5 linked regions of the Sus scrofa genome follow. The protein of the gene in region 4 interacts with the protein of the main gene of each other region in a pairwise test. Links are inferred from orthologs where the notes say so. Each region holds a gene or a part of one and is shown on either strand. Other genes may lie near its edges. The genes, in order: PRC1, FAM107A, PNKP, TRIM37 and FAM124B.

Region 1 (3,949 bases), on a different chromosome or scaffold from region 4:
ATTAGTGCAGTCAGGACTTAGAAAAGTTTAAATGCAGCACTCTTAAGATCAAGCCATCTCACTTAATCTTTGTATTCTCAGAGTCTAATAAAGAGATTCTCAAACTTTTAATGTAAACAAACCTTTTTAGAATTGAATTTTATGTTTAAAATTTCCTCATTTGAGCCCCTAGCCTGGAAACTTCCATATGCCTCGAGTGTGGCCCTAAAAAAAAAAAAAAACAAACATATTATTACTTTCCTAATAAAAAATAAACTACTTAATATCAAACTATAGGGATCTAGTTTAATAAATGAGAGTATGTCAAAAGAATAGAATATATTGGGGGGTAGGGGAATGTGCTTCGGTTGCGAGATGGAAATCCTGTGAAATTGGATTGTGATGGATCATTATAGAACTACAGATGTGATAAATTCATTGAGTAATAAAAAAAGAACAGAATATATAGTTAATAATGAGCATGTATTTGAAGAAAGTTTGATGCTATGAAAAAAAAAGTCACAACCAATATCAAGTAGGGAAAAAGGAGAAATCAAAATTATATGTGATCTGTATTTTGTAAAAATACACTATTTTGAAAAGCTTTTTACAAAAGCAGGAAAAACACCAAATATTCTCACTGGTTCTCTTGGAGTTACATTACAGGTGATTTTTTTAAAAATATTCTATATGTTTATAAAGTATGAGTTAAGGAAGGAAAAGGAAAAGGAAAATAATGCTACACTTCATTTATCAAAGAAAAGGTTTAGAAAAAAAGGAAAGGAGGAAGGAAGGAAGAACTCCCTGCTTTCCTGCTTTAGAGACTAAGGAGTATTAGGTATTCCATTTGCTAAGCATGAAAGTCTTCTTTCACACATCTGCCACACATCAAAACTAGCTCTACTCCTTGACTGTCAAGTGTCAAGTTGCCACTCAGGATTAAACTTGTCTTCCACTCACACACGCATATGGACTCCACCTGGAAGGCTAGAAAAAGCCTTTCCCATCTCTGCACGACAGAAGGAAAGAGATGGCCAAGAGCCCCAGCCTCACAAAGAAACGCCTTGTACACTGCAGTTCACAAAGCCTCGTGTTTACCTTGCGCACTTTGCCCGGAGTACTGGGTGCCAGTCCTCGCCGCTTGCTGGGTGTCCGGGGAGTGCTGCCGTACAGCATCTCTGTCTCTGTTTGCTTCTTGTTCTTCAGTTGCTGTGTGAAAGTCAGAAGCAACAGTGATAAATCCCAGCAGGAAAACAGTCTGGGATAGGAGAGGCAGGGCCAGAAATCTCATGCAAATCTCTATACCCACAGCTAAAAAGAGCTGCCATGAGCTACCACTTCTGCAGCCAACCCAAGGCCCTGGCAGCAACTTGACTGCTCACACATGACTATCTTCCCTCTTCCCAAATAGGATTCACTTACTCTCTCCTGCTTGGCTTTCTCTTTCTCCAATCGATGCAGCTCCCACTGTTCTGTTACATACTCCATGAAGTTTTGTCCATTCACCACAAATGCCTTTGCATGCTCCTGTTCCCACATTTCAATTTGTGTTTTCAACTCTTCTTCCAGCTGAGACCAGAAACAAGGACATACTAATTACTTCAAATCTTTGGTGTGAAGCCCAGAAAGAAATGATTCTCCCTCTCCAGAGTATCATTAGCCTGGCTTCAGGAGCTGCACCCACATGGGAATAGGTTGGAGTGGCCAGAAATCAAAGTCTTAGGTTAGTCCATTCATAATACACCTGAAGATCAGAAAAGTTAAGAACCCAGAGCCTGACCACGAAGTTCTGGAGCCTGAAGTTGGAGGTGGCACTGGGGGAGACCGGCAACGTTACGTAGGCAGTGTACACTAAGAATAGCACTCTCTGGGCTCCAAATCTGGAATCTACCTCTTACTGGCTATGAAAAGGTGGGCAAGTTACTTAAGTTCTCAGTGCCTCAGTTTCCTCATCTATAAAATTGGAAATAACAATCTCAATCTCATAAAGATGTTGTGATGATTAAATAAATTAATAAATGGAAAGTACTGGAGTTCCCATAGTGGCTCAGTGGTTAACGAATCTGACTAGGAACCATGAGGTTGCAGGTTCGATTCCTGGCCTCACTCAATGGGTTAAGGATCTGGCGTTGCCTTGAGCTGTGGTGTAGGTTGCAGATGAAGCTCAGATCCCACGTTGCTGCGACTGTGGCGTAGGCCAGCGGCTACAACTCTGATTAGACCCCTAGCCTGGGAACCTCCATATGCCACGGGTACAGCCCTAGAAAAGACAAAAAAAAAAAAAAAAAAAAAAGAAAAGAAAAGAAAGAAAGTACTTTGAAATAGTAACTATTCATTCAATAAATGCTAACTATTATTATCATTAAAATAGAGAACAGTGGAGCTCCTGCTGTAGCGCAGCAGCATCAGCGGCGTCCCTGCCACACTGGGATGCAGGTTTGATCCCCAGCCTGGCACAGTGGGTTAAGGATCCAGAGTTGCCACAGCTGTGGTGTAGGTCACAACTGTGGCTCTGATCGGATCCCTGGTCTGAAAACTCCATATGCTGTGGGATGGCCCCCCCCGCAAAAAATTAAATAAAACATAGTAATGAAGTCCAAACATTTTCTCAAAAGGTTACTTTGTGTTATAGGCTGAATTATATCCCTTGCCAAATTCATATTAACTCATATTTGGAGTCCTAATCCCCAACATCTCAGAATGTGGCTTTGTTTGGACATGGAGGTAATTAAGTGAAAATGAGGTCCTCAGGGTGAGTCCTAATCCAACATGACTAGTGGCTGTTATGAGAAAAGAAAATTTGGACAGAGACACATACAGAAGGAAATCACGTGAAGATACAGGGAGAAGACAACTAGCTACAGCCAAGAGAGAGGCCTCAGATGAAACTGACCCTGCTGACACCTTGACCTCAGACCTCTAGCCTCCAGAATGGTGAGAAAATACATTTCTGTTGTTAAAGCCACCTAGTCTCTAGTACTTTGATATGGTAACCCTGAAAAGCTAATGAAACTTGAGAACAGGTTACTTATACTAGGAGGGCCCAATATATAGTTATTATCCCAGCCTAAGCTTTGGAAGAGGAGACAGGGAGCAAAATGATTCAATGCAAAGGATAGACAAAAAGTGAGATATTCTGTATCCAAGCACCAAAAACTGTTTTAGCAACAATATTACCTTTGGGAGTGTTTTTTGGAGCTTGGCCCGCTGCTTTTCTTCTTTTAGAAGATTTCCTCCACGATTTCTAAATCGACTTGGATCTGAAACTTTTCTCTGTGAAAAATACATTTTAATTAGAGTAAATCCCAGACAGACTAGTCACTTCTGCTAAGAATCCTCACTATTGGAGTTCCCCACATGGCTCAGCAGAAACAAATCTGACTAGCATCCACAAGGAAACAGGTTCAATCCCTGGCCTTACTCAGTGGGTTAGGGAGCTAGCGTTGCTGTGAGCTGTGGTATAGGTCACAGATGCACCTTGGATCCCGCATTGTTGTAGCTGTGGCATAGGCCAGTAGCTATAGCTCCGATTCACGCCCCCCCCCGGCCTGTGAACCTCCATATGCCTTAGGTGTGACCCTAAAAAGACCAAAAACAAATTAAAAAAAAAAAATCCTCACTCTCAGAAATGGATACATATTTTTAAAGAGACCTGAGAGCTCTGCATTCCTTTCCACTCTTAGTAAAGTGAGAAATGGTGGCTTTCTAAGGCAAGGGAGTGACATGTGAACCCTCCCAGATCTATGAAAGATCAAATACTGGGATGCTTGAAAACTACTGTTTCTTTTTTAATCTAGAAAGTAAGACAGGGAGTGCCCACTGTGGCTCAGTGGGTTAAGAACCCAGCATTGTCTCAGGGGTTTGATCCCTGGCCTCAATCAATGGGTTTAGACTCAACATTGGTGCAAGCTGCGACTTGGATCCTATGTTGCTGTGGCTGTGGTGAAGACCTTCAGCTGCAGCTCTGTTT
Region 2 (4,727 bases), on a different chromosome or scaffold from region 4:
CAGTGGGGCTGTTGCCTCCAGAAAGAGAAAGAGAGGTGGGCACATGGGGCTTTGGGTGGGGGTGGTTCACAGATGAAGGATCGCTCAGAGAGAGCCTGACCTAGCTCGCTCACAGCCTTTGCTCCTTGATGGTTCACCACTGAGAAGCTGGGGAAGTTATGTCTGTTGGGATTCAGCTTTTTCATCAGCCATTGGGTGTGATATGGATGCCCTCATTGGCTCAAAAGAAGACTTGTGAGGCTCAGAAGAGGATGCACTTAAGAGAGGGTCCACTTCAGGAAGAGACTATATTGCATATGTGCCTATTTCTTCCCAGGCATGCTATCATTTAGGTTTTACAACAATCTGAGGAGGATTATTATCTTTTGTTTATTTTTTATTTTTGTTGTCTTTTTGCACCTGCAGCACATGGAGGTTCCCAGGCTAGGGGTTGAATTGGAGCTATAGCCGCTGGCTTATGCCACAGCCACAGCAACTTGGGATCCAAGCCATGTCTGCTATCTACACCACAGTTCATGGCAATGCTGGATCCTTAACCTGCTGAGAGAGGCCAGGGATCAAACCTGCGTTCTCATGGATCCTAGTCAGGTGTGTTACCACTGAGCCACAATGGTAACTCCTATTATCTTTCATTTATTGAAGTAGAATATGAGACTCAGAGAGGTGTGGTGACTTGCCCAAGGTAACGAGGATGTGGAGGAACTGACTCAGATCTGGCTGACTCTAAAGCTCCCGTTCCTATCACAGTTCCCTGCTGCTTTCTCTCTGGGAGGGCTTTTCCCAGAAGGCGTGGGAAGGGACTGGGCCCATGGATAGCATGGCTTTCAACCTGGGGGCTAATTCTGACTGACTGTTAGGGGAGTCCCGGTTTGCTGTATTGAGGACAGTGAGGCTCTCTAGACTTAGTGGGAAAATGTGCAGGGATCAATTTGTGATGTCTGCCACATGTGAGAGAATAGGGAGGTGGTACTCAAGGTATATTTTGCTAGACCTTGTTAGGGTCTTTTCTAGGTTTGGGAAGCTGGTCTCCAAGATGACTCTCCACCTTCATGGTCAGCACAGATAGGGTCTAGAGGCTGAGTTCATTCTCTTCTGGCAGAGAGAAGGAGCAGGAACAGTGCTCCTGAAAGTGGGGATTGGTTAGGGCCGGGGCTCAAGGCTTGGCTGGGAAGGCATCTTTGGGACTCCCAAAGGCTGTGTCAGGTCACCACCTGCCTTGACTGCAGCTGACCCACACTGACCCCTGCAGGCAGGAGTAAGCATTGCATGGGGGAAGTGCCAGCCCCAGGATAATCAAGTTTTCAGGGGGAGATGTTTTTGGGGATGCTGAAGGGAGGCAGAAATTTCCAGGCCTGACTCTGCATATGAAGCAAGGGAGGTGGAAAGCAGAAGCCAGCACTAGAACGCCCTTAGGGGTCCTCTAGCCTAACACTCCCATTTCTGCAAATGGGGAAATTGAAGTCCGGAGTGCTTCCTCCTTGTGGTCCATGATGTGTTTGTCTCCAAATCTGAAAAATGTAGGATGGGCTGGGTTGGCCATAAGTTTGGAGTCAAGCAGAAGGGGATCAAAATCCTTCCCTTTTCTCCTCTAGCTGCATGACCCTGGCTAAGAAATCACGTCTTGCCTCTGAGCCTCAGTTCCCTGCCTTTAACGCATCATGACTTGTTTGAGGATTAGAGCCTCTGTGGTATCAGGCTCTCTGCTTGTCAGGCAGCATCATAAGTGCTTGAAGGGCGACGTTTCATGGAACCTCCCACGAGATGGGTACCAGCTCCACTTTACAAATGAGCTGGGATCCAGAGAGGCTTAGTTCCTCACAGTAAGTAGGTGGATGAGCTGGGACCTGGGCAGCCTGACCTCACTGCTGGGATCACAGTTGTGGTCGGTATGGGCTGTGAGCCCCCTGAAAGCAGGTGAATAGACTCAGAATCCCAGTCCCTCCTCAGAGACTCTGATGTCAGCCTGAGAAGGTGACTGTTGACAAGCCCCCTCCCACACTCCAAGGAATACTGCACTGACTATGCTATAACCTTCCCAAGTGAGATCCCAGACTGAGAAGGTGATGAGAAATAACATGAAAGTCCTGCTAACAACAGATCACAGCTTGTATATAGCCCACTCTGGGCCAGGCACTCTGTCAAACACTTCACATCTTTAAATTCTCACTGCCGGCCTCTAAGGTAGGGATTACTATTGTCCCCACTTCACAGATGACGAAATGAGTCACAGAGAGCATCAATCATTTGCCCACAGCTTTACCACACCTGGTGACAGTTGGTTAGCCAGCTTAATTACAGTGATCATTGGTTTTTTTCCTTGACTCTGCATCCACCTGAACCGAGGCTGGGGGTGGTTGTTTGTGGTGGTGGCAGGGGTTGGTTAGGGAGCCTGTAGCAGGGCAGTAAAGGGGTGTGTGAGTATAAGACCAGGAAGTCTGTTTCAGAGATGGAAGGATCAGAGGCTGGCCTTGCCCTGAGCCCCAGCCAGGTTTCTAGATGCAAATCTTTTCTGTGAGCTCAGGGAGGGAGGTGGGCGGGCAGTGCCTGGCTGAGGCTCCAAGGAGCTGGTGGGTGCTGTGTGAGGACTCCCACCTGATAGATGCAGCCCCCTCCCGTGTCCAGGGCCCCCACAGGACCCTTGGGAGCTCCTACCTTCTTCCCCTGGGCAGCTCCCATGGTATGACGTGGACACCCAGCCTGGCTGGACCCTGGGGGCCGGGCTGGAGTCCTCTCTGCAGCGCTGATCTCAGGAGCCGAGGTCCGAGGGGTTCCCGGGGTCCCCAGTCCTCTCGTGGCTCATTCTCCTCAGGCACAAAGGCAGCTTTCACAGCTGCTCTTAAGCCGGCAGCTCCTCAGACAGGCTTAGGGTGATTGATCCTGACGGAGGGGCCCGGTGTCCCCAGGCAGCCACATGCCCTCCCCGGGTCCCTGTAGCTCCTCGCTTCCTGCACCCCTGCCCCTCTCGGGGAAGAGAGACAGAGGCAGCCGGCGTCATTGAGAAGCAAAACCGTCCTCTCACCCCGCAGCCACAGTCGGCAGCTCAGGCGCCGCGAGTGACCCCTGGCAGGTCCAGAGGGCGCGCCTTGACCTTCTCGCCCCCAGATGAGAGAGAAGGGGCTGCGTGGGGCTGTCGCGGCATGGGGATCGGAGGGCTTGTGTGGGGCCATGAAGCCCAGGGCTGCTCGGCCCCATGAATAATAGATCTTAGAAGGCACTCGGGCCCGGGGTTCTCCCCGCACAGAGACAGAGAGAGCAGCACACTTCATTCCACGGGGCAACGGTCCAGGCGGGGAGGGCCAGAGGGTGGCTGGTCTGGGCTCAGGCCAGGAAAATATCTGGAGGCCAGATTCCAGGCCCGGGGCCAAGTTCTCAACGTCCCCCAGCAGTCGGCCTCCTCCTTGCTTTCACCCACTTGCTTCTCTATGTTGCCAGCGTGGGGCAAGGTTAAGGCCGGAGTCACCTTGAGCTGGAGTCATAGCTCTATTCCTCCCATGATTTGACCTCTCTGAGCCTTAGGTCCTTCCTCTTGTGTGTGTGGGGTCATATAATCAGCACACAGGGCTGCTGTGAGGTTTGAAAGGGAAGGTGGGTACAGCTGAAGCCTTTGTTTCGTTAAAGCATAAATCTGATCACGTCATTCCCCGTTTTATAATCTTCCTCTTGGCTAAAGCAGGATGACAACGGCCCCAGCCTACGGGGCTGTGAGGATGAAATGAGGTCATTCATGTAAAGCTGAGCAGAGGATTCCCCGTAGAATTTAGGTGCTGCTATTATGTTGGTTGTGATACTGGTGATTAACCCACTGCCCATTGGCAAGTCCCAGGAAACTAGTTTAAGCACAACGCTGTTCCCCAAGAGCTGGGTGGGTGGGGAAACCCTTCCCTTTCCTCCAGCACAGTGCCTGGCACAGTGATGGTTTATGACACAAATTGATGATTTATGAAGTGATAGTTGGGGGTGAAGAGGCAAATATTAGGTGTTCTAGATCTGATTTTGCCCATAGAATGGAATCCCCCATGGTTCTCAAGGTCTCATCTATCCAACCTTTCTTTCCCCTCAGACCTTGGCCCAACATCCCTCTCTCCCTGACAGTTCCTGGCCATACCACCACCCCCTTTACCTCAGGACTTTTGCACTTGCTGTTCTCTCTGCCTGAAATCTGTCCTATCTCCCTTGACTCCATTCTTGATCTTTGCATGAGTCTTTCCTCTTTATCATCAGGCTCATGTTTCACCTCTTCAGAGAAGCCTTCCCTGACTCTCTATGCAAAATAGCCTCCTGGGTTCTCTGTTGTTTTGTCACCACACTTATCAGAAACGGGGATGATACTATTTCTGTGTTTATCATTGCGCTTCCCCACTTGGAATGGCAGCCCCACAAAAGTGAGACGTAGTCTGTCTTGTTCATCAGTTTACCCCCTGTGACTCAAGTAGTGCTGGGCACATTGCTGTCATTCAATAAATATTGGTGGATGGAGTTCCCATTGTGGCGCAGCAGAAACGATCTGACAAGTATCTATGAAGCTGCAGGTTCGATCCCTGGCCTCGCTCAGGGGCTCGGGGATCTGGTGTTGCTGTGAGCTGTGGTGTAGGTTGCAGAGGCAGCTCGGATCCTGTGTTGCTATGGCTGTGGCATAGGTCAGCAGCTACAGCTCCGATCTGACCCCTCGCCTGGGAACCTCCATGTGTCGCAAGTGTGGGCCTCAAAAGCAAAAACAAACAAACAAA
Region 3 (4,656 bases), on a different chromosome or scaffold from region 4:
TCAGCGCAAATCTGACTAGCATCCATGAGGACACAGGTTCGATCCCTGGCCTTGCTCAGTGGATTAAGGAGCCGTGAGCTGTGGTGTAGGTCGCAGATGCAGCTCAGATCCCGAGTAGCTGTGGCGTAGGCCAGCGGCTACAGCTCTGATTCGACCCCTGGCCTGGGAACCTCCATATGCCGTGGGTGCGGCCCTAAAAAGCCAAAAGGGGGGGGGCTTTAAATCTGACCCAGCCTCCCCCCCTGACCTTTTCCACCGCGGAGGGCTAATGGGCTAATAACCATGAAATAAAACCAGGAGCTAAGTTTTGTTTTGGCGGTTAGTGCACATCAGGGACTGCTTTTTGTGGATTCCTCGTATGATGAGAGAAGTGGGGCTCAAAGAACATGGTGTAACAGCCTTTTTTTTGTTGTTGTTAGGGCTGCACCTGCAGCATATGGAAATTCTTGGGCTAGGGATTGAACTGGAGCTACAGCTGCCGGCCTACGCCACAGGCACAGCAACTCAGGAACGGAGCCACATCTGGGACCTATGCCACTGCTTGTGGCAATGCTAGATCTTTAACCCACCGAGGAAGACCAGGGATTGGACATTCATCCTCACAGAGACAACGGATGGGTCCTTAACCCGCAGAGCCACAACGGGAACTCCAGTGTAACAGCATTTGAACTCGCCTCTCTGACCTAAGAAATACTCATCATAACTCCCGCCAACATGATCATGACCAATGGCTATGGTTACTGGGTGGTTACTGTGGGTGGGGCAGGAGCTGACATGCATCGATTTTCCCAATGCTGACAATGAACCCCGCAATCCTCAGCTCGGGCCTCACCTTGCCCCGCGGCTTCACACCAGGTGCTGTGAATACTAGTAGCTTCTCAAAGCTCTCCCAGCCAGGAGATGACTTCCGCATCTGCTTTTTCGGCGGCTCAGCCTCTTCCTCCTCCTCGTGTGGGGGCACAGGAGGCGTGCCAGGTGGAGTGTCTGGCTGCAATTCTGGAGTGCGAGCCTCTTCCCAGCGCAGGGTCAACGGGTGGAGGCCGTTGACCAAATACAACGTGTCCCCCACCCCTAGAGAGCCCTCCAACCCCGGCCTCAGCTCTTGGGCTCCAGCAGTTGAGGGGTTAACTCCTAGCTGCAAAGAAAGAGGGAGGTGCTGGTACAGGCTCCACCCCACCAGTAACCTCATCCAATCAAATAACCTCAAAAAGGCCTTCCTTTCTCCATCAGCCAATCAGACCCTTAAGCTCCACCTCTTCACTGTGTACCGCCAATCAGGGCATTGGGAAGGTAATACGCATCCAGTCCTAACCAATTTTGTTTTTTTTCTTTGACTGCTACACCTGCGGCACATGGAAGGAGTGGAATCCATAGCGGAGGCCTAGGCCACAGCGCCATAGCAACGCCGGATCCCAGTCTCATCTGCGGAGTTACGGCCGTAGTTTACAATAACGCTGGATCCTTTACAGCCGGGGATGGAACCCACATCCCCACAGAGACGACGTCATATCCTTACCCTCCTGAGCCACAAGGGGAATTCCTAGTCTTACCCAATTTAAATGGGGATGAAAGTTTACCCCACTGAAAGAGGCCAGACCTCCTCCCCTCCCAGGCAGTTAGATTTTCTCGATGGGCCAGTTTCCCCAGCTGTTCCTACCCTTCGACCCCCCCACCCCGCCCCACCCCCAGGCCTGCTGCCCCTTGCCAACGAACTGGTACCTGTTTCACTGCCACGGTCCGAGTCTCAGGGTCTGCAACCAGCTCCACTGAGGATTGAGGGGGTGGAGTTGGGATCTGAATCTTTCGGTGATTGTTTCCTTCCCTACTGGGGAGTGTGGCCTGCTTCAGGCCACAGGATGGGGCTACAACACCCATTCAGCAGGAGGAGGTGGTTTATTTCTAAGTAGGTTTGGCTCACTCCTCGATATGCAGTAGCCAGATAATGGCCTTAGGATAGCCTGTGACACCGGTCCTCGCCTAGGGGCAAGGCAGGTGTTTTTCTGTATAGCATTGGTTTCTCCTTGACAACGCAGGAACCTGACGAGATGCAAGTCCTGGGCTTGGCCTGCTACCACCCATCTCTGCTCAGCAATATGCATTTTTCTTCATAGGATCGGCTCTCTCCTGGACAAGGTGGTGGCCGGATTCAAGCCCGAGTTATCTGGCTAGTTCCAGGTGGGGTCAGGCACCACCTTTCCCTTCTGTGCTCCCCGGAGGGCACTTGCCAACTTCAGGACTAGCTGCACCACGCGATTCGGCCTGGGGGCCAAGCACATCCCTCCCCGGACTAACTCTCGGTCTTTCCCATTGATTGTGTTCCCGCTTCTGAAGCAGGCCACACCCCCTCCGGCTCAGGCCCCGCCCTCGCCCACCTTGGTTTCGGGAGCATTTCCGGTCGGTAACCAGAGTCAAGGGTCCCCGGCCCAGGACCAGGGCTTGCCCGTCGGAGGGCAGGAAGATGGGAGGTGCTCCCCCAGGGGGGCTCTCCAGCCACAGGCGGCCCCGGGCCTCCACCTTGGCCATCCTGGAAGCCGGCCTAAAGGGAAGTAGGTAAATAGGTTTGAGTGGCAGCCCGCAGATTGCTACAGGAAGTCCCGCCTCCTCGGCCGCTCCACCAGGAATTCTCTTCTTCCGCGAATGGCTCAGGAAATTCCACCCGCTCTCCGGCTTGGGGCTCGCGCCGTTTCCCAGGCGACGACTCCCCGCTTCGTCCCTCCCAGAGCCCCGACTCCTACTTCCCAGGGCAAAGGCCGAGAAACTCATGAACTCCCGCCTCAACCCTTTGCTCACCCTTGCCCGCTGCTTGGCTCACTCACCACTTCCAACCAAGGAAATCCCGCCCGAGGCGCCTGGCCCGCAACTCGCCTTGCAGCTTTCTCCGTTTCTCCGCGGACGGAAATGACTCGCCTACTAAAGTGGGCGGGGCGTTGGTCCCGCCCATGACGTAAGCCCCGCCTCTTAGCGGTCCCGGGGCCTCTCTAGTCCCTCTGCGGCTCTGACCTTCATCTCTCCTGCTGCAGGGTGAGGCTCAGGCCAGTAGGGGGAAGGGGGTCTCCACAGATTTTCCTCTTTCCACGCTAAACTCTCGTTTTCATTCCCCTTGCTGGACAGTTACAGCGGGAAGTTATCCTTCCTCTTTGTTGACTATTGGCAGTCGAAGAAACCCTGCCCCAACACACACCTACCCTCATGCTGCAGTTTCCTCATCTGCAAAGTGGGGATAATCCTTTCCACGTTGCAGGGTTACTAGAAAGATGAAAGGAGTTAGTACATATAAATACTTCAGAAAAGTTTCTAGGTGGTAGTTGGCTCGGTTTAAGTTTCGTCTGTTAACATTCCACCCATGGTGGTCTGATGGGAGATGGGTATTCCACGCTTACTGGACCTGGCCCCATCTTCAGGTCTGGCGCCATTGCTCTGTAACCACCAGCTGACTTAGAATAGTCAGAAAACTCCTGGCGTCAGCTGGAGGTTCCTGGCTTTCCTGGGCACTCAGGAACTGTAGTTCCTTAAACTATTCCCAACACTCACACTCCTGAAGAGTGGGAATCAATGACTACACAGGACTGGAATCCTTCCTCCTACCCCGCGAATCTCCATTATCTTGTCTGTAAAATAGGCACAATTAGTTTAATTCGCAGCTTTGCACTGAGAAGCAATGAGACACTGCTCATTTGGCTTCAGAAAATGTTGAATAACACAACACACCTCATAGTCATTTGTCAGAGGTAAAACTCTTTAATCTCGGAGCGCCCCTCTCAACTCCTGATCCCGACCCCCCATTCTCTCCCCCACACCAGGGCCGGAGAGTGAGGCCCCCTGCCCTCCACCTTGGGTGGACGAGGGCCCTTTAAGGCACCTGTGGGGGTGGGGGGAGAGGGGCGGGAGCTGGTAACGTCCTGGACACAAGGACGGGTTTTGATTGGCAGGCAGTTGTGATAAAACCAATGAGAGGGTGTCAGACGCAGGAACAGGATTAGGCCATCCTTGAGGGGGCCAGAGGGACAATTGTCAGGACTGAGCCAAAAAACGACCCCAGCCCCAGTAGTGTAAAGACTGTAAATGTAAGGCCACAGGCCAATCCTGGGCAAAGGGGATTGGCCACGCCCCCAGGAGGCTGGAGCCAATCAGGTGGGGTAACTCGGGGTGGACAGGACTCTTGGGATGTTGGTCAAGCCCTTTACAGTGTTCAAGCCAATCAAACGAAGGAACTGCCCATTCACTATGCGAAGTGGAGGGCTACTACCCAATCCTGCAGCTTGACTGTGCTCTTTCGGGAACGGAGCCAATGCCGTGAGAGCAAAGCCCTTGTTGCTAGGCAGAAAACGACAGAGTTGACCTATTAAGTCAACTGGCCGCGCCCTGATGCCGGACCACGCCAATCCCTTAATAGAAAGAATCTGTCGCTGGGCGGAGAGAAGACAGACCCAATCGGGAAACTGGACAGGCGCTGGAGCGGCTGGGGGCCGGAAGGGCGGTGGGGATCCGCAGGGACCAGGGACGGGTCAATCCTGGGGCCAGGGACCGTGGGAGGCCGGTCATAGCTCTGACTCGGATTGGCAGGTCCCGGAGGCGGGGCGGGGGTGTAGTGTTGGGTGGGGCGGGCGCCGGGCCGGGAAGCTCCCTCCCTGGGCCTCAGTATTTCCGCTTCAGCTT
Region 4 (3,949 bases):
TCTAAAAAGACAAAAAACCCAAAAACTCAAAAAATTATACATAGAGAGAAAAAAGAGAGAAATATAACAAAGCAAAACATTAACATTTAGGGAATTAATCTGGGCAAAGGAAGTATAGGAATTGTCTGTTATAATTTTCCAACTTTTCTTAAATATGAAATAACTACAAAATTAAAAGTTAAAACTAGGAATTTCCTTGTGGTGGAGCAGGTTAAGGATCCAGCACTGTTGCTGCATTGGCTTGGGTTCAATCCCTGGCCTGGGAACTTCCCTATGCCGTGGATGCAGCCAAAAAAAAGTTAAAACTGTAACTCGGTTTGGAACTCAGAGATGAGAGGAAAGAAACTAATTCACTCTTTCCTTCAAGTTCGTTTGTTTAGGTAAGATAGTGTTGATCAAAAAACCTCAATATCCTCACTTTTAAGCCCAACTTAATTAATATGCTTCTAATAATTCCCACTTAGATGATTTATAGCAGTAGTAAATGTAAGACACTCACATAGTTTCTTCATCAATATCATTTTCTTCTGTGTTACTTGTTGCTGTGGAACTGGCAGAGGAACTGCTGCCATCAAGGTGATTTACTTCATCTTCACCAACAAGATCCAGATCCAGATCTCCATCCGAAAGCTCATGCTAGGTTAAGGCAAAGAAACAAGATTTCTTTCTTTTCTTTTCTTTTGTCTTTTTGCTATTTCTTGGGCCACTCCCGTGGCATATGGAGGTTCCCAGGCTAGGGGTCAGATGGGAGCTGTAGCCTCTGGCCTACACCAAAGCCACAGCAACACAGGATCCGAGCCGCGTCTGCAACCTACACCACCGCTCATGGCAATGCCAGATCGTTAACCCACTGAGCAAGGGCAAGGACCGAACCCGCAACCTCATGGTTCCTAGTTGGATTCGTTAACCACTGTGCCACAACGGAAACTCCAGAAACAAGATTTCTATTTCAAATGTTTTCACTCAGTTTGTCCCAGCCAGCCCATGGACCAAGCACCAAAGAATAATATAATCATCAGAAACTCTGCTCCTGTGCCTGGATTGCTGAGCCCTGCAGAGATAAATCACTCAACCACATTGCCTAGTAACCACTAGTAATTAACTTCTGCCAGTTTCAGCTGGGCCCTCGATGTGAATGGAAATGTTTCATACCGTCCATATCAGCTTCCAGTAAGGCTCTTCAAAGAGTAACATTTCAAACCACCACTCCTCAAGGCTGCCTAACCTTTATAATCCTCCAGGTAATTATAAAACCCCATCACCTATCTACTCAGAAAAATATATTGGCTATTAAGCACAAATGCCCCCGACTTTTAGCTGCTCTAGCTGCAAACTCCTCCGTTCTTTTAACTCTATTAAAGGTTAACTGCTTCACCTGAGTGCTCCATTCAAACCTCTATTATCTCCTTAAACACTTTGTTTTATCAAAACCCTGGAACTCATCTTCAATCTCTCTCCCTCATGGCTCCTAACATATACCCCAAGCCTCCCATCTTACAAATAACAGCTGTAACAAAAAAGGCTTATTTCTCCATCACCCTCTTACCTTAAACAGTAACAACCACTTTCTGAATTCTCATTCTAGCTGTTTAGCTGGAACAAAATCTGGCTATCTCCCAAATCCTAAATCATTCTACCTACATATGCAATGACAAGGTGCTTTTAGATTCAATGAATGGAAACTGGACATCTTTTTAAAAGCCACAATTTGTACAGTTTCTAGAATATACACCAAAGTTTGTTTTGTAGAATATACAGTTTTCTATAAATTATTGGAATCTAGAAACACTTTTGATTCTACAACTTCTGACTTACAGAGGGTATACACTAACAATGAAAATATAAATGAACAAGATTTTCAGCACATTGATTCCCCCTATAGTCTATGTTAGAAATCACTGTATCATTTTTCTTTTCAAACATAAAACAAATCTAGAACGGGTCTAATTATTACATGATAATCTTCATTTTGAATCTTCTCCTCATCTTCTTCATCCTCTTTGACCTCTCTTACAGAAGCTGTAGTAGAACAATCCTGGAGAAGCATGTCAGCACATGATCCAGACTTCTTAGCTCGTGTCTCAGGAGTTTCATCATTTTGGGGACTAAGATGATTATCTGGTGGTGACAAATCTCTCGATTTCTGAGTTCGAGACAACTCAATAGTAAGTCTCTATTAAAACAAGAATTATACAAATGTGAGTATTAAGCAGTGCTTCACTAGTACAGTAAATTATTTCAAATGAAAATAACTACATGTATCCAAATGGTCATAAAACCATTGTTTTTCTCTCATTATGGCTGCATCTGTGGCTTATCAAAGTTCAGCTGCACCTACACCACACCTTGCAGCAACACCAGATCCCCAACCCACTGAGCAAGACCAGGGATTGAACCTGAATCCTCACAGAGACTATGTCAGGTCCTTAACCTGCTGGTCTACAATGAGAACTCCAAAACCATTTCTTGAACCATCTCATATCTTTCTGACTTTTGCTTATGGAAAAATCTATGACAAAGAAAAATTGCACAATGTATTCTCATCTTTTCTTTTCTAGCCCAAGCTATATACACAATTAGCAAACTGTGGAATAAATAAGGCAGTTTTAAATAGTATTCTTAACATGAAAATTTCTGGTAATAGTACACTTAATATGAAATTTTTCCTTCCTCATGTATTAACCACCTCAACCCTTCAAAATCCTCATCCAATTCCAATATCCATTGGTAGGAAGAAATATTCCTTATGCAATTTAGTTTACCATTGTAAAATAAAAAGTCAGGGAGTTCTTGCTGTGGTGCAGTGGAAACAAATCCGACTAGTATCCATGAAGATGCAGGTTCAATCTCTGGCCTTGCCAGTGGGGGGATCTGGTATTGTCATGAGCTGTGATGTAGGTTGCAGACACAGATGTGCTGTGCTATGGGCTGGCAGCTGTAGTTCCAATTCAACCCCCAGCCTGGGAACTTCCATATGCAAGGGTGGCCCTAACAAGCCAAACAAACAAACAACAAACAAACAAGTCATTAAGTGATCATCCCCAGCACTCAATTCAACAATACTGAGAACTGAATATGGGGCAATTTTCAATTGTTCTATAGCTTAGAATCCTCTCAATTTGAGACAGCATGGCGAAGAGAAATACCCACGTCACTGAGAGAAAAAGTTTACCTCAAAGTAAAGCAGCATAGTACATACAATTTTATACAATGATGGAAATGGTCTATATCTGCAGTTCCCAATACCTGAAACATGGCCGGAACAGAAAGGAACTAAAATTTTAATTTGATTAAGTCTAAACGGCCATACGTGGCTACTGAACAGACAGTCTGGAATTGGAGACTCAAAAGGTTATAAGAATAAAGAACAAGACAACTAAGGTGTTTCTGCTGTGGCACAGTAGGTTAAAGATCTGGCATCGTAGGTCACAGATACGGCTCAGATTCACCCTCTGGCCCAGGAACTTCTGTATGCTGAGGCTGTGCCCAAAAACAAAAAAGAAAAAAAAGAAAAAAAAAAAGAATGAGACAACTGGATTATTCTACAAAATCAAAAATAGCAATAATATCCAAAATCTAATTACAAATGTAGACAATATAAAACAGTAAACCTAAAATATATGTTTTTTGCTTACCTCTTTAAGGTTATTTATTTGTTGGATATAGCTAGTCTGTGCAGCTTCCAACTGAGTAATATACCAATGCTGGTCCCGGCATTTTTGAAAGAAAGTTGGTGAACGAACCTGAAACCTTAAAAGCACATGAAAAGTAATTCAAACAGTAAGATAAGCCTTAAATCTATTATGATAAATCTACAAATATAAATTTATATGAGTTTGCTATAAGGCCAAAATTCAAAACAAACTCAGAGCTCCTGGTATTTTCCACTTATATGTGCAGTCCACAAATTATAATGACACATGGTTCTGAAAAGTCATTTATAAGTCAG
Region 5 (4,676 bases), on a different chromosome or scaffold from region 4:
CAGGGATTTTTTAATGACACCAGAAACAGAAGTTTCCAGAAGGTAATCCCCCGTTTTGTTTGCAAATCCTAGACACATTGACATTTTTTTTCAAAAAAAAACAAAACAAAAACTATACTGCACACCCCAGATTTGACTTAACTTCCCAAAGTAATTAAGCTGTGTAAGCTGTGGTTCAGAAGTGAAAATGTCAGTTAGTTTTTAAAACATAAAGGATTAAAAATGCATCCCCTGCTGCACACACATATTAAATTTTTGCTTGACAGTGAGGTTTAAATTCTGGAGATTAAGGCTGAAGGAAAAACTCTAGATGCCTTGGAAATTAGTGAGTTATGTAACAGGCAACTAACAGAAACAGTGCCTGTCTGCCTTAAGTGAATAAGAAGGTAAATAATTTAGAGATCATTTCATATAGAATCAAAATGACTCATATTTTATTAATAGCTCAAAGCTGATGACAACAAAATTAATCTAAAGGAAAGATAATTCATCTTTTGCCTGTTTTTACTTTATCCAAAAGGCCTTAAAGGGGTTTCTAGCCATTTCTCAAGGTGGGAAGCCACAGAAATTTTGCTGTGACTATCACATACACCTCTCTGCCTGTGCGTGTGTGCACACGCGCGCGCACACACACACACACACACACACACACACACACACACACACACCACTAGACTGCAGTGGTCACCTACCTGGCTTTGGAATCAGGTAAACATTTCCTCTTGTGTCTGAGATAAATAACTGATCTTGTTACCCCAGTTTTCCCTTAGTTTCCCCTTCTGCAAAACTTCCTAGGTTATAAGAAGGACTAAATAAAATAATCAATGTGAAATACTTAGCCTGGGACATAATACAAGCAGTAAAATCTCAGAGTGCATTCTAGGCCTTATCTTAAACCCTTCATAAGTGTTAAAACATTTAATGTAGATAACAATCTATATTCTAGGAAGATGCTAATATTACTCTCATTGTGCTAATGAAAAAACCAAGTCTTCAAATCAAAGCAGCTACTAAATGGCAAGGCTCAACTGCCATGTGATACATTGTAAGAAAAGACTCCTGGTAGATCTCATGACTGCGTTTGCGTTCAATAGGATGCTTTCATTTCAAAATTTTCTTTTGAAAGCTTCTAACCAACTAATTTGATTAGGGGTAAAATTGGACAGTGATGCAGGATGCTTAAAAATTAAGTCAACAGGACTGCATACTTAATATCCCCAACCATAATTACAACTTCAACGTCTTTAGGTCCAAATGGAAAAAACTCAAGATATTTCTGAACCCAAAGAGTGCACACAGTATTTGCGTATAGTTGAGGAGTATGACTAAAGGAAAATCTGACAAAGAGAGTATTGTCTGATTCTATTCCAAACTACTTGTGTAAGCTACCAGCTCACAGAATCTGAACTTCCTGATCTGTCAGATGAGGTTTAATTAAATCAGTGACTCTCAACCATGCTACAACCTGTATATTAGAACTATCCAAGGAGCTTTTTGAGAAATACCCCCAAAGAGTCTAATCTAATGGACCTGGGGTGCAGCCATTGCCCAGGAATATTTGAAAACGACCCAGAAATTCTGATGTGCAACCAAAGTTGAGAAGCACGTGAGAACCAGGACATTACACCATCTCTCCCATGGGAAATCACCGTTCCACGTGTATCTAGAAGTCAGAGAGGCCAGACAGAAATACCTGAAGTAGAATCTTGTTGCCATCATAGTCCTGTGTTTGCCAGCGGGTGCGGCTGATGGGGACACAAGGATGGGGCAGGAGAGGCACTAACTGGCCAATCTCTTGAACCTTGAACTGCAACACCGAAGCCTCTTTGGGGTCCACCGCCATTCCGAGGGGCAGCTGCTTCAGGGAGAGCTGCAGAGTAAAGCTCTCGGTGGCGTAGAGCACAAAGAAACAGAAGTCACTCTTCTGCAAGGTGGCTTCCCTCTGCAGGATCATCTCATACAGCCGGATGGCATCCTCGTAGTTATCAAAGCTGCAATAGAGCGTCACTCTCAGGATCTCGGTGTCACCGTGCACCTGCCTCACTCCCCAGACGGGCATCTGGTGGTCCAGACTGTAGAATTCCTGGCTGGCGAGAATGTAGGGGCACGGTCTTCCCTGCACGTTCTGGGCAGGGTAGCACTGCCATGGCCAATGCTGGAGGGAGTCCAGAACGCGAAATAGCCGCTCCTCCCCGAGGCTCTCATGCAGGAAGAGCAAAACAGACATCCCCGGGAATCGTGACCGCCTGGAGTGGCACTTGTCATAGTATTTCACCGGACTGACCCGCTCGGACACCAGAAAGAGACGGACCTCTGGGCAAATGCAGTCCAGGAGTTGGTCCAGGGTTTGCTGCAGAAGTGAGCCATGCCCAGAGTTGGCAAGGAGGTGGACAGTCATGGCCAGAGGCTCCCGTGTTTCTTCCATCGTGGACTCCAAGGATGACAAAGGATGCCAGCGGGGAGGGCACGCTGGTCCAGCTTCTGAAAGGAACGGAGGGGCGGGCGGTTCCCAGCGCAGCCTTCTGCCCACAGGGAAAGCTTCAGGACTTCAGAGCCCAGCCCTTACCCTGTGCTGCTGGTTGCCTCCAGCCACACTGAGAGAATCCCCACAAATTTCAGGCACAGCAGCCTCCCCGACACACCGCAGTAGCGGGGTCAGTGTCATCCAGCAGGTGGATAATGTAACTGCGTGTGCGGGGCTCTTTCGGGCGCTCCCAGGGTTTCTGTTTGACCTAAAAACCTATAATCCTGAGAAACACCGGGGATGGGTGGTTCTTACAGACGCTCAGTAAAGGAAATGACCAGGCAGAAAGGAACACAGTCGGCTCTGTGAGGCTGATAGCAATCTGGTTGGTTGGAAAGACATCCACTTCATGGACCCACAATGGATTCTGATTTCCTCCCTACGTCCCCGTGTTTACAGTAGCCTCCAGGCCACCTGAACACAATGACTGCTTGAAAACAATTCTCAAAACTTGTCCCCTTGCCAGGATTTTTTCACCCTTTGTTTTTTTTATTTGATGCTTGAACAATTGATGCCAGGGCGTTGGAGAGAAGCTGTTTTACCTCAGTAATTTTGACCGTTTAACTGAAAACAATTTACTCTGCTGCGAAGTCTGAAAATAATTTACTCTGCACAACAGACATTTGTTCACACCCATTCTTTAGAGTGAGAGCTTTCCAATGTCAATAACAATCATTGCTCATGTCCATTGAGGATTTACTACGTATGGATCATAAACTGCTCTAGAGCTTTACATAAACTGATTTAGTCCTCCAGCAAAACGATGATCCCCCAATTACTGAGGAAGAAACTGAGGCATAGAAAAGCCAAATAATTTGCCCAAGATGTCACAGCTAAGAAGTGACCAAGGAAAGATCGAACCCAGGAACTGAGTGACCCCCCCCCACTCCCCCGTGAACCAGAGAGGAGGTACCTCTCTGGGACCCAGATGTCCTGGACTGGGCATCCTTAGCATAACGAAAAGATGCCCAGGCAAGTTCTAGCTAAGGACACACATTTCCCAGAATTCTGTGTTGCTGCTGAATCTTAACTGAATAATCTCCAGTAAGAATATCCAAGCTCTAAACATAACACTCACCCTAATGGGCTGTAAATATCCATTTAAAAATCATTTGCTATTTTGATAGCTGTGCTTCTAAAAATGTAGACAAGCACATTTTTCCAAATGTAATTCTTAAAATAAGCAGTTTATTGATGCTTATCATGAAACATGGTGTAACTTTACTTTTTATAAATTAAAAGGCACTTTTGGGATGAGAAATATAACTTACTCATTTTTTTTCTTTTTATGGTGGCACCCACAGCATGAGGAATTTCCTAGGCTAGGGTTTGAATCAGAGCTGCAGCTGCTGTCCTACGCTACAGCCACAGCAGCGCCAGAGCTGAGCCACATCTGTGAACTATGCCACAGCTTGCAGCCATACCTGATCCTTAAGCCACCGAGCAAGGTCAGGAATTAAACCTGCATCCTCACAGAGACAACGTCAGGTCCTTAACCTGCTGAGCCACAAGGGAAACTCCCTAACTTTATTTTATATATGTTTATTGCCCTAATAGTAAAAGAATCAGGAGTTCCCACTGGGGCTCAGTGGTAACAAACCCTAAGTATCCATGCGGACATGGGTTCAATCCCTGGCCTCGCTTAGTAGGTTAAGGATCCTGCGTTGTCATGAGGTGCAGTGTAGGTTGAAGATGCGGCTCGGATCCTGAGTTGCTGTGGCTGTGGTATAAGCTGGTAGCTGTAGCTCTGATTAGACCCCTAGCCTGGGAACCTCCATATGCTGCAGTGTGGCCCTAAAAAAATGATCAAAAAGAAGTAGTATAAGAACTAAATTTAGCATCAAATATTGTTATCCGTGGAAGGGAGTCATTTCTAGTCCAATCTCTTCTAAATCCAGCCTACACTTGTAATCACTTGCGTTTCATAAGTCTTACACATTTGCACTGGAAAAAAAATCTATAAGTAAAATTTATAACAGATAAATTGTTTTTTAATTACCATCAGTGAGTCAGTAATGAAATTCATCTTGCTTCAACTTTCCAAAGATCATTACAGTTTTTTTAAGGTATAATTCTGAAGATTCTTTGGGAATAAGTAAATAAATAACTCTTAGTTTAGGTTACCCGCTGGCATCTGAAGGTAATAACTTTC

Evidence for each region.
Region 1: the proteins of TRIM37 (region 4) and PRC1 interact in binary tests that used the Homo sapiens proteins (3 or more experiments, as listed by UniProt). The link is inferred for Sus scrofa from reciprocal best matches to the Homo sapiens genes TRIM37 and PRC1.
Region 2: the proteins of TRIM37 (region 4) and FAM107A interact in binary tests that used the Homo sapiens proteins (3 or more experiments, as listed by UniProt). The two-hybrid records come from large-scale screens. The link is inferred for Sus scrofa from reciprocal best matches to the Homo sapiens genes TRIM37 and FAM107A.
Region 3: the proteins of TRIM37 (region 4) and PNKP interact in binary tests that used the Homo sapiens proteins (3 or more experiments, as listed by UniProt). The two-hybrid records come from large-scale screens. The link is inferred for Sus scrofa from reciprocal best matches to the Homo sapiens genes TRIM37 and PNKP.
Region 5: the proteins of TRIM37 (region 4) and FAM124B interact in a two-hybrid assay, tested with the Homo sapiens proteins (2 studies listed by BioGRID and IntAct). The link is inferred for Sus scrofa from reciprocal best matches to the Homo sapiens genes TRIM37 and FAM124B.

The regions. Positions count from the first base shown.
Region 1 is NC_010449.5:55,889,919-55,893,867, reverse strand, and holds part of PRC1 (protein regulator of cytokinesis 1), read right to left. Parts: intron 3,253-3,949; coding exon 3,157-3,252; intron 1,549-3,156; coding exon 1,402-1,548; intron 1,189-1,401; coding exon 1,078-1,188; intron 1-1,077. UniProt on the Homo sapiens protein: Key regulator of cytokinesis that cross-links antiparrallel microtubules at an average distance of 35 nM. Essential for controlling the spatiotemporal formation of the midzone and successful cytokinesis.
Region 2 is NC_010455.5:40,366,756-40,371,482, forward strand, and holds the start of FAM107A (protein FAM107A), read right to left. Parts: upstream 2,954-4,727; 5' UTR 2,677-2,953; coding exon 2,653-2,676; intron 1-2,652. UniProt on the Homo sapiens protein: Stress-inducible actin-binding protein that plays a role in synaptic and cognitive functions by modulating actin filamentous (F-actin) dynamics. Mediates polymerization of globular actin to F-actin. Also binds to, stabilizes and bundles F-actin.
Region 3 is NC_010448.4:54,877,867-54,882,522, forward strand, and holds the start of PNKP (bifunctional polynucleotide phosphatase/kinase), read right to left. Parts: upstream 2,949-4,656; 5' UTR 2,942-2,948; coding exon 2,817-2,941; exon of another isoform or gene 2,791-2,816; intron 2,537-2,790; coding exon 2,373-2,536; intron 1,767-2,372; coding exon 1,720-1,766; intron 1,136-1,719; coding exon 833-1,135; intron 1-832. UniProt on the Homo sapiens protein: Plays a key role in the repair of DNA damage, functioning as part of both the non-homologous end-joining (NHEJ) and base excision repair (BER) pathways.
Region 4 is NC_010454.4:35,323,620-35,327,568, forward strand, and holds part of TRIM37 (E3 ubiquitin-protein ligase TRIM37), read right to left. Parts: intron 3,751-3,949; coding exon 3,636-3,750; intron 2,174-3,635; coding exon 1,955-2,173; intron 637-1,954; coding exon 500-636; intron 1-499. UniProt on the Homo sapiens protein: E3 ubiquitin-protein ligase required to prevent centriole reduplication. Probably acts by ubiquitinating positive regulators of centriole reduplication.
Region 5 is NC_010457.5:126,124,799-126,129,474, forward strand, and holds the start of FAM124B (protein FAM124B), read right to left. Parts: upstream 2,861-4,676; 5' UTR 2,426-2,860; coding exon 1,694-2,425; intron 1-1,693.